Caenorhabditis elegans: one gene and its partner. The protein of the gene in region 2 interacts with the protein of the main gene of each other region in a pairwise test. Each region holds a gene or a part of one and is shown on either strand. Other genes may lie near its edges.

What was found. Proteins that work in one complex are often made in the same cells at the same time.
Region 1: the proteins of pas-4 (region 2) and pal-1 interact in a two-hybrid assay, tested with the Caenorhabditis elegans proteins (one study listed by BioGRID).

The regions. Positions count from the first base shown.
Region 1 is NC_003281.10:4,804,201-4,810,496, reverse strand, and holds pal-1 (Homeobox protein pal-1), read left to right. Parts: upstream 1-1,787; 5' UTR 1,788-1,788; coding exon 1,789-1,919; intron 1,920-2,395; coding exon 2,396-2,471; intron 2,472-2,525; coding exon 2,526-2,813; intron 2,814-3,137; exon of another isoform or gene 3,138-3,286; intron 3,287-3,348; coding exon 3,349-3,451; intron 3,452-3,625; coding exon 3,626-3,797; intron 3,798-5,243; coding exon 5,244-5,286; 3' UTR 5,287-5,788; downstream 5,789-6,296. Other genes in the region: C38D4.7 (C2H2-type domain-containing protein), read left to right, coding at 1-83, 130-184, 229-375; rRNA N(6)-adenosine-methyltransferase metl-5, read right to left, coding at 5,811-5,924, 5,975-6,102, 6,153-6,259. UniProt on the Caenorhabditis elegans protein: Transcriptional activator. Interacts with promoter regions for tbx-8.9, tbx-9, elt-1, hnd-1, scrt-1, and vab-7 genes. Binds the sequence ATTTATGAC. Binds to the enhancer region of the hlh-1 gene promoter during embryonic body wall muscle development.
Region 2 is NC_003279.8:8,726,665-8,730,000, reverse strand, and holds pas-4 (Proteasome subunit alpha type-7), read left to right. Parts: upstream 1-1,513; coding exon 1,514-1,612; intron 1,613-1,873; coding exon 1,874-2,125; intron 2,126-2,171; coding exon 2,172-2,468; intron 2,469-2,548; coding exon 2,549-2,662; 3' UTR 2,663-2,783; downstream 2,784-3,336. Other genes in the region: rpb-3 (DNA-directed RNA polymerase RpoA/D/Rpb3-type domain-containing protein), read right to left, coding at 37-164, 210-298, 348-595, 748-873, 921-1,055, 1,110-1,232. UniProt on the Caenorhabditis elegans protein: The proteasome is a multicatalytic proteinase complex which is characterized by its ability to cleave peptides with Arg, Phe, Tyr, Leu, and Glu adjacent to the leaving group at neutral or slightly basic pH.

The DNA.
Region 1 (6,296 bases), on a different chromosome or scaffold from region 2:
ACCGGAGCACCTGTTGATGCTGCAAAGGAGTTGAAAAAGATTCGAGATGAGGAAAACAGAAACCATGGACGATCTGCTGAAAGGTAATTCTAGTTGTGTTTTTTTTTTCAATTTAAATGAGAGTTTCAGAGATAATGTGTTCATCGGTGCAGTGCTGGTGGGGAAAGGATCTCAGTACGATAAGGTAAGCCTGAAAATTATAAAAAATTAGTTGAAGTTGTTTTTCAGGATCTTGAAAAATTCAAGAGCTTCCGATGCAGGACCTGCAATGAAGTTTCCCAGACGAAGGAGCAGCTCGTGGATCACTTTTCAAACAACCACGCCGGCGAACTTGGGGCGAGAAGGTCACTGCGAATAAAGCAGACCTCGTGTTAAATTTCTTTTTTAATTTATATTCGTTTTTGTTTTAAAATTTAAGCTTTTTTGATACAAATAAATTTTATAGTAAATAAATCTTGTTTCTCCTACCAGCTATCTAACTATTCCCAACAGTGGGTGGCAATAAATACGAGACGCGGCTCTTCTCACGGCGGTATCATAGATGCACAAAGAGCAAAACGATTACGCAACAGACAGCCGGGTCATATTCAGGTCAAACTTGATAGTGCATGAAATCGAGTAGTAAGCGACTCTTTGATATTTTCAGATGCTCCATTTGTTGTTCTTCATGACAGCTGCAGAGTTCCCAGATCGTAAATGTTTAATGTTCTGAAAGAAGGTACATAATCAGTCAAAGGGCGGTCTCATTGTTGCCTTTTATATCAAATCTTTGGAGGACAAATTGTCGATTTCAGCAACATTTTTTGTTAAGAATCTCCAACTTTTAGAATAACTATTTAATAGATCACTCGTTTCTGATAAGAGAAATAATTCTCTGCTACCGTAATCTTTGCTCCACATGAACCTGTCAGTCATAAATGCTCATTCGTATCGTACTCAATTAAACTTTCATCGCTCATTTATTTCCTAATGAACATCGTAATGGAACCTCAATTCCAGATGGGCTCAATGGCCGGTAGACTTACTATTATTTGGGCGAGTAGATCAAATATGAGGTGAGTGATCTATTTTTCAAATTATTTTAAAGGCGGGATCTCATTGAAATTAAATTTAGTGGCTAAAATTCTTCTTTTCTTAATTTTTGGCTAGATGATTTTTTCTAATCTTTTTCAAAATTTTATAATTTTTAAAATATTTATTTAAATAAAAAGATATTTAACAGCAAGTTAACTATTGAACAATAAATTAAATAAAAATCTTCGTAAATCGACAAGTGGAAAGTGCGCTCTATTGAGCTGATCAGTCAGTAAAAATTTTTCAGTGTTAATTTTTTTCTGTTCTTCATTTCTGTTGAGTTTTAACGTTTCTTTTATATTTGTCTTGCTAATTTCAATGCTAAAAATCAATTCTAAAAACGCATATTTTATTAAAGTAAGAAAATCCATCTTCGAATACAGTCTCGGACAGTTTCCTGCACAGACCAATAATTTATTTCCCAACGAACTGGGCGTTTTTGTTTCCTTGCCGACCTGTCTCATTGTAAAAGTGATATGTTTGTCTGAAAATCGACGTGTGGCTATAAATCATTCACAATTCCCTCTCCCGTTCATATCTGATAAATCCCGCCTTCCCAAGTGCTCAATGAGCCGCAGGAGGCGGTGCCGGGTTGCCAGCTCGTTATTTTATTGCTATTCTCATCAAATCTCGAAAATCTTCCTTCAAATTTTGAATTTTTATTACTGTTCACTTTTCTCTATATAAACTGATAATTACTTCCTCGTTTTCAGAATGTCGGTCGATGTCAAGTCGGATTTTTCGGAAAACGAGTCCTCATCAACACCTTCACCAACAACAGTTCCAGCAGATGTCACGTGGCCTCACTATCCAATGATGCCATTCATGCAACCACATCCTCTGAGGCTAGATCTTCGAAATTTTTATTTGGAATCTCAAAATCAACGAAAAATTAAATATTTCCTGTTGGTGTTTCATTACGACCAAGTGAACAAAATTAAATACCATAAATATTTAATAATCCAGCACACACACATGGTTGTAAATCCATGCCCTTTCTCTTATTTATCTCCTTCAAAATATTTGCTAACCATGTATTTATTCTCAAATATTGTCGCCTTTTTGATGATAGAATTTGTTTGAAAGGTTATATGCAAATTTTCGATCTATCCGGAGGGTACGGTAACGCCCCGCCTCCACAGTGTATTGGAAGACATTGCTCCGCCCATTTCCACCGTTGGAATGAAGCGGGAGGGTGTCTAAGAGGTAATAGGCGTGTGTGTGTGTATCAATTGACAAGAACATTTGATTAAGGAGGTGCTATATTTTGAAGTTTTTCTTGTTTTTTTTTTTCATTTTATACTTAATTTTCTTTTTTCAGAGAAAAGATGCTGCAACCAACATTTGATCCACAAATCTATGGAAGGTGGTCACAAATGGGTGATACTGGTTTTTACGTACGTTTTGAATGAATTTCCTTAAGGTTTTTTATTTAAAAATTGAATTTCCAGGGACATCCGGATCTCTATCCATTCGGCCTTCCACAACTCGCTGCCAACGGACAAATTCCAGCAGTAGAAGCCGTTGATGTGAAGCCACCGCTTTCGAATGGAAGTAGCAGTAGTGATAGTGGAATGTATCCATCACCGAGTGATATGATGACACCGTTCCCATCAACATCATCTGGAGCTGCATCTTCTTCAGAGCTTTCAGCAGCTGCTGCTGCTGCAGCCAACTACCAGATGAGAGCTGCCACGTGTTATCAGCAATCTGTTTGGCCGTTTATGGATTATCAACAGGTAATCATATAAAATTGTATTTTAATACCTTTGTTGGCTTTTATAACACCAAAAAACATAATTTCCTAGCGAGACTTTTCAAAAACTGTTCACATTTTTTATGACTCTAAATTGTTGGTACAGTTTTTATTGAATTTTATTTTTTATTGCATATTTTAGGTACGGCTACTCGCGTTTATTCATTGATTTAAGCAGTCTACTTCCAAAAATTACAAAAATTCAGTGCCTATCGGCTTAGAACGCGCCTAAATCAACGAATTAACACGAGATAAATTACCAAAATATGCAATGAAAAATGAAAACTTACTAAAAACTGTATTTCAGCTACTAGACAAGGATAAGTTGATAAAATTTTAGATTTCAGCATTTTTGGCTCTTTTCGATATTTTAAGCTGCCATAAAATTAGGAAATTCTGTCGTTTGTGGTAACTTGTCTAATAAATATCTCTAATAATGTCTAATAAGTCTAATAAAGCAGCCAATTTTTGATCTGTTAGTTCTCCTCCAAGTGAGCTTGTTTTAAAGATAATTTAAGTTTCAGGGATTCTCGTGGAAAATGCCTCTTGGAAACAATCATGGAAAGGATCGAAGATCAAGCAGTGATGGGAAAACATTACCAACGGGACCTGGAACGAATAGTAAGTTTTCAAAAGAGTCTCCCCGTGTGCAAACAATCTCTCTTCAAGTGAAAAAGAAGCCGCTATCAGTCATATTTATCAGTAACTAGGACAAATGAATTGAGTATTTATGATTCCTTTCCCATCAATTTCCCATTTTATTACGAGGGAGTTTGTAATTAAACTTATTTTCAGATGTCCGTGTACGAACAGCTGACAAATACCGTATGGTTTACTCGGATTATCAACGCCTTGAACTGGAAAAAGAATTCCATACATCGCCATTCATAACATCAGATCGCAAGTCCCAATTGTCGACGATGTTAAGCTTGACAGAACGACAAATCAAGATTTGGTTTCAAAATAGGTAGATTCTTTTTTAAACTCACTGCCTAAAATGGGATGATTGATTACTACAAATTTGAAGACACCAAAATAATATCAAGTTTTCTTGATTTGGCACAGAGATGAAAGGCGGTAAAGGTGATGCGGTGTATGAGTTACGGTGCTTACGCAATTCGACCCGTGTGGCAGGTAGCAGGAGAGTCTTTAGCCGTGAAAGAGTGTTAGAGTGACCTCAATTTATATGATGAGAGGTGGCAAATTGGGATTGTTATGGTGTGAGATGTCATATTAATAGATCTGAAAGTTTAATTTGGTTTATTGGAATCATGAGATTAGACTTCAAATATTGACACATATTTCACAACGTCATTTAATTAACAGATGATGTTGCCCTCTGCAAATCTCATTTGAATTCATTCATTCCGCGCCCTTTCGAGCCAAATACGTTGTTTGCTGTTTGCTGTTTGCTTACTCTTTCTCAGGCTTTTCCAGGGGACTCATCACAATGACTGTCACCTCCTACTGTAACCATAGGAAAAAGTACCACCACACTTTCGTTCTTTAAGATTCAGTTCAGTCCACGCGCGCAGTAGAGATAGTTCCAAGGAATTAAAGAGTCGTAAAGTTGTGTAATTGGAGGCCACAGTGTTTGAGACGTGCTGGTGGAGGTGAGGAAGAGATGAAGTTTGTTAATTGGTCCGTTTACGACTTTCTAATTGGTATTACTGTAGAAGAGAGGTGGTCACTGCTTGCATGTGTGGCTATCTACGCGTTCGGGGATTTGGAAATTAACAAGGGAATAGGATATCTAGTGCGAATTTCCAAGTTATTGGGATAAAACACTTCCCGTAAAGTGCTACTGTTAATCTCCTTCACTCGCATGTTAAAGGGAGAGTATCGTTTGTAGGTTTGCAAAAAAATATACTCAAAATGCCCCAAATTTCAAGTTTTTGCCTTTATTTAATTAGGTGAGGTTCTAGCTCAATGAAAGAGTCTACAGAAATGATAAAGCAAGGGTTTCTGACCAGCTCGCAGAGATATACCAATTATCTGCTCAACAGTCGTTTTTTTTGTTGTCTGTTGCCTTGTTTGACAATATTAGTGCGCATCGAAAGATTTACGAGGGGAATAGAAACGTCGTCGGCAGAGATTCCCAGAGTGCTGTAAAATGGAAATCAATGTGTGTGTCCCTTTCCTGTAGCGTCCCAATCCAAACAGACATACATACTGTGTTGGACAGACGTGACCGCCGTTTTCCTGGGAAGAGGTAACATACGGACGAACCATACCGGTCATTGTATTCATTAAAAGAAAGGGAATATAAACCAAAAGATTGATGTTCCCTATCCCTTTTCTTTGAAAAGCGTATTTTTTTTGAATTCACCACTGGGACGGCATCTTTTTGATCTCAATATATTCTGATAAATTGTTAATTTCCGTAATAATACTGTAATATTTTTAATTGCAGGCGTGCAAAGGATCGTCGTGACAAACAGAAGATTCGGCTATAAGTACTCATCTACTTACAAAGAAAATGTACAAAAATTCTGGGAATTTTCATATTTTTCTAGAATATTGTACACATTTATTATATTTTTACATTTCTCTCGCTTGAATACGGTTAAATTCACACTTTTATATAATTTCTTCCTGTCCCATCTCCCATTCTCTCACATCAGAATATTCTAATCATCACTGCCCTTAACATATATATATATATATTTATAACTTTCCGATCATTCCTTCTGCTTTGTAAACTAATCCAATCATTCTCTAATGAATTATTCCCTAATATAGAGCTTCTTTATTTATTGTGATTTCTTGTTTCTTACCCTTCTCAAGGTTTAGGAAAAAGTTTAGGTCCCCATTTGTTATGTATTTACTTCCCACTCTGAACGGATCCATTTTGAACATGTTTTCTATTTTTTGGAAAAGTTTAGAGAATTCTTTGCTTTTCTCACATATCTTGATTGCATATTTTTTATAACAAAACAATGAAACAATTTTGAAGAATTTACAGCAGAAATTGATGAGATTAACTATCCAGTTTTTTGAAATGTATTAAATCGACGGCAATATCCACGGCCTTTTGTTTATGGAATTTGTAAGTCGCTGGTAGTTGCCACCGCATTTCTGCACAACATTCTGCCTGAAACTCAATATTTTTTTTTCTAATTTTAGAATAATTTAAAAACAAACCCCAACTCCGTCCCATTTCTTTGCATTTTTTAGAATATAATCTCTAGTTGATGATTTATGAAGTGAAAATACACTTCCACCAGGCCGAACCATTTGAAGACCGATTTGGACAAATTGCATATCGATTCCTGAGAAATTTAAGATATTGTAACGTTTTAGGAGATCGTTGGATATTTACCTGCATTATTTTTTGTTCCAAATGGAGGATTAATGACAGCCACGTCGAATGTGCCACGTGGAAGATCGGATTCCGGGTCGAGAATGTCGGCTTGTAGAAGCTCGCATCTGGAAGAATTGAAAGTTTTTAATTTTTTATTATTAC
Region 2 (3,336 bases):
TAATAATAACGTAAATAAATTAGAGATCCAAATAGTTTACTGCTGCTGGGCATGAGCTTGAAGTTCATTTGAAAGAGCCATATTTAGTTCCTCCAGTTTTCTCTTCAAGATTCCGATTCCCATTGTCACGATTCGCTGTGCTGGAAGAGCACCAGTTCCTTCGACTGAAACATTTAAAATTATAAGCAAAATATCTGACCGTGACTTACTAGAGAACCAGAACTTGTTAGGCTTGTTGTCCGGCTCGAATGGTGCCTCCTTTTCAGTGCTGTCTTCTGGTAAAGATGAATGATCGCTTCTGCAAAAAAAATGTACGAAATTCACAAAATACTGATAATAGTTCTTACCTTGGCCATTCCTCAACATTCGGATAAATTGTATGTCGGAGAGCATTGTCTGGATCATATTCAAATGCAACTCCACAGGTGGGATTCCATTTTGCATGTTCCTTTCCGAAACCCTTTTTAACATAGGCTTTTAGGTTAAGCTCTTGTCCCTTACGCAATTTTACAATCAGAATCTCTTCTCTGTTGTGAAATTCGTCACGGGTCGATCCACGCTCACGTAGTGCTTTTCCACAAGCTGGTCGGACGGTCTGTAAAATTCCAATTCAAATATTTATCAAATGTAGTGAAGTACGGACCCTAATAAGATTGCTCATCGATTTTATTTAAACGTTATTAATATTATTATTGAAATTTAATTCACTCCATTAAAAAAAAATGAGTTGCATTTTTTTAAATTTACCGTGTCTAAATTATGCATTGGCATTAGATGCTCGGTAGTAACAGCCAAAGTAGCTTCATCTTTACATTTCATCTGCAGAATGAACGGTATCGAACACTCATCGCAGAACTCGGCACATTCACAATCCTAAAACCAACATTTAAAAAGTTGTGAAAGATTCAACCCTATCTTACTCTGGTGTATTGCATTTTTTCGACATGATAATCAGATATGAACGGAATCAAACCCATGCGATGTGCAATAAATTCGTCGTGGAGGACAGAAGTGTTAGTTTCAATTTGAACCCAATCAATAGCTATGGTTGGCACCTGAAATGTAATTAAAAATATAGAAAGAGTAATGGTAAACAGGAAACAACTCACTTCTGCCATGAAAACTCGTCTCAGTGAATTTGCGACACTCAAATCAGTGTCCCACAGTACAAACTTGATTATATCATTTGTCAGTTCGGTAACCTCGATGTTAGGTTGATTTGCGTACGGCATTACTAAAAATGATTATTATAAGGAAAAATGAAAAATCTAATTATTGAATTGAAAACATTTAAGTCGAACAGAAATTCAAAACAAAACGTCGCTAAACAACACGCACATTCGTTATTTCGGAGTGTCGTTTCAGGTTCTCGGTTGGTAAGCGAAGTACGGTAACACTCATTTCAACTGTGCGCTTTTGTCACTGCACAATTTCAAATAATCATTTTTTAATTATTTTTTCGTTTTAAAGTTAAAAATGGTTCAGAGTTATTTCAAATTTTAAAATTTTTCAGATGAACAGATACGATCGTGCTATCACTATCTTCTCCCCTGATGGACACTTGTTCCAAGTGGAATATGCCCAGGAAGCTGTCAAGAAGGGTTCGACTGCGGTGAGTGGTTCCCCTGATGAAAATCAGTTGGCAGAAAATTATATGAGTTGCACTTTCATATGAATATGATATCAGCTAGAATTGAAGCACCCGATTCAAGAAGATTTTAGATCTATTTATCGTTTTATATTTAAAAATAAATCAAAAAATTCAATGTAGATGATTGATATTATCTATCTAAAAATCTAAAATTTCCCGAATTATGGTTCAAAATAATACGGTTATTTTTAAAACCTCAAGTTATAATTATGAATGTTTCAGGTCGGTGTTCGCGGAAAGGATTGCATTGTTATCGGTGTTGAGAAGAAGTCAATTCCAGCTCTTCAAGATGACCGCACAATCCGTAAAATTCATATGATCGACGACCATGTGATGCTCGCTTTTGCTGGATTGTCCGCAGATGCTCGTGTTCTTGTTGATCGTGCTCGTATCGAGTGCCAGTCGTACAAGTTGACTCTTGAAGATCCAGTTACCGTTGCCTATATCTCCAGATATATTGCAAACACGAAGCAGGTATAAATATTTTATTTATGCAAGCATAACTTTTACTGATTTTCAGCGCTTCACACAATCTCCAGGACGTCGCCCATTCGGAATTTCAATGCTCATTGGAGGATTCGATCATGACGGAACTCCACGTCTTTTCAAAACCGAGCCATCTGGAGCTTACTACGAGTACGTTGCCAACGCGACTGGAAGAGGAGAGAAACCAGTGCGTGAATACCTTGAGGAGCAATACAGCGAGGAAAATACTGTCGACGAAGCTACCACTCTTAAATTGGTTGTAAAGTCGCTGGCTCAGGTCGTACCACCAGGATCACAAAATATCGAGATTGCAGTCATGAAAAAAGTTAATGTAAGTGATTTCCACCTGAGATTATTTTCAGTAATAACATTTTTTTAAATTGAAGATGGTCCTTAATTTTAATTTTTTAGGATGAGCTGCAGCAACGTGTATTGTCAACTGAAGAAATCGAGGCTCTCCTGAAGGTTGTTGAGACAGAACGTGTGGCTGCTGAGGCTGAAGAGGCTGCATCCAAGAAGAAGTAGATTCGAACTTTTGTCTTCTGTCCATTATCCGTGTGTATTGATTTCCCAGTTATCTGCTCCCCTTTTCAAAACCTAATTTATTTTATTCATCTTTATTGACGGGAATGAAAAAGTTTTCCCTAAAATCTTCGAAATTCCTTTAAAACCATGAAAAGAAAGAAGCTATATATTCGAAATGACAAGATAATTGTGGGGTTCATTTGAAAAAAAGAGAAAAATATATATAAAGAAAATTCCAATTCGGCGAGCAATGGTTTCTGAAACTTCTAGCTTTCTGAAATATGGTATCCTTAAATGAGATTTGTTTTATAAGTTAACCTACATTTTCGAATAGAACGCATAATCTCTGCAATAATAATCACAGTCATTTTTTTTCCTGAAGTTCATTTTTCATTCAAAATTCTTCGATGAACCGATTGAAGTGGCAGTGGTTATGCAAATTGTTCTATACATTTCCTCTCCCAAGCAGAGGACCTTTTCGGTGAAATTCCGAATAAAAGTGAGCGGTACAAAAAGAGGGAAAGGAGGCAAATTTGAATATATTTCATTTATAAGCCTTCAAAAGTCTCCTCCTAGACTTACAAGATGCCATTGCCCTACGGCTACTTTTTTTTTCAAATATTAGATCTATTAATTTTATTAGATCTATTAATAAGATCTAATTTTTATATAAT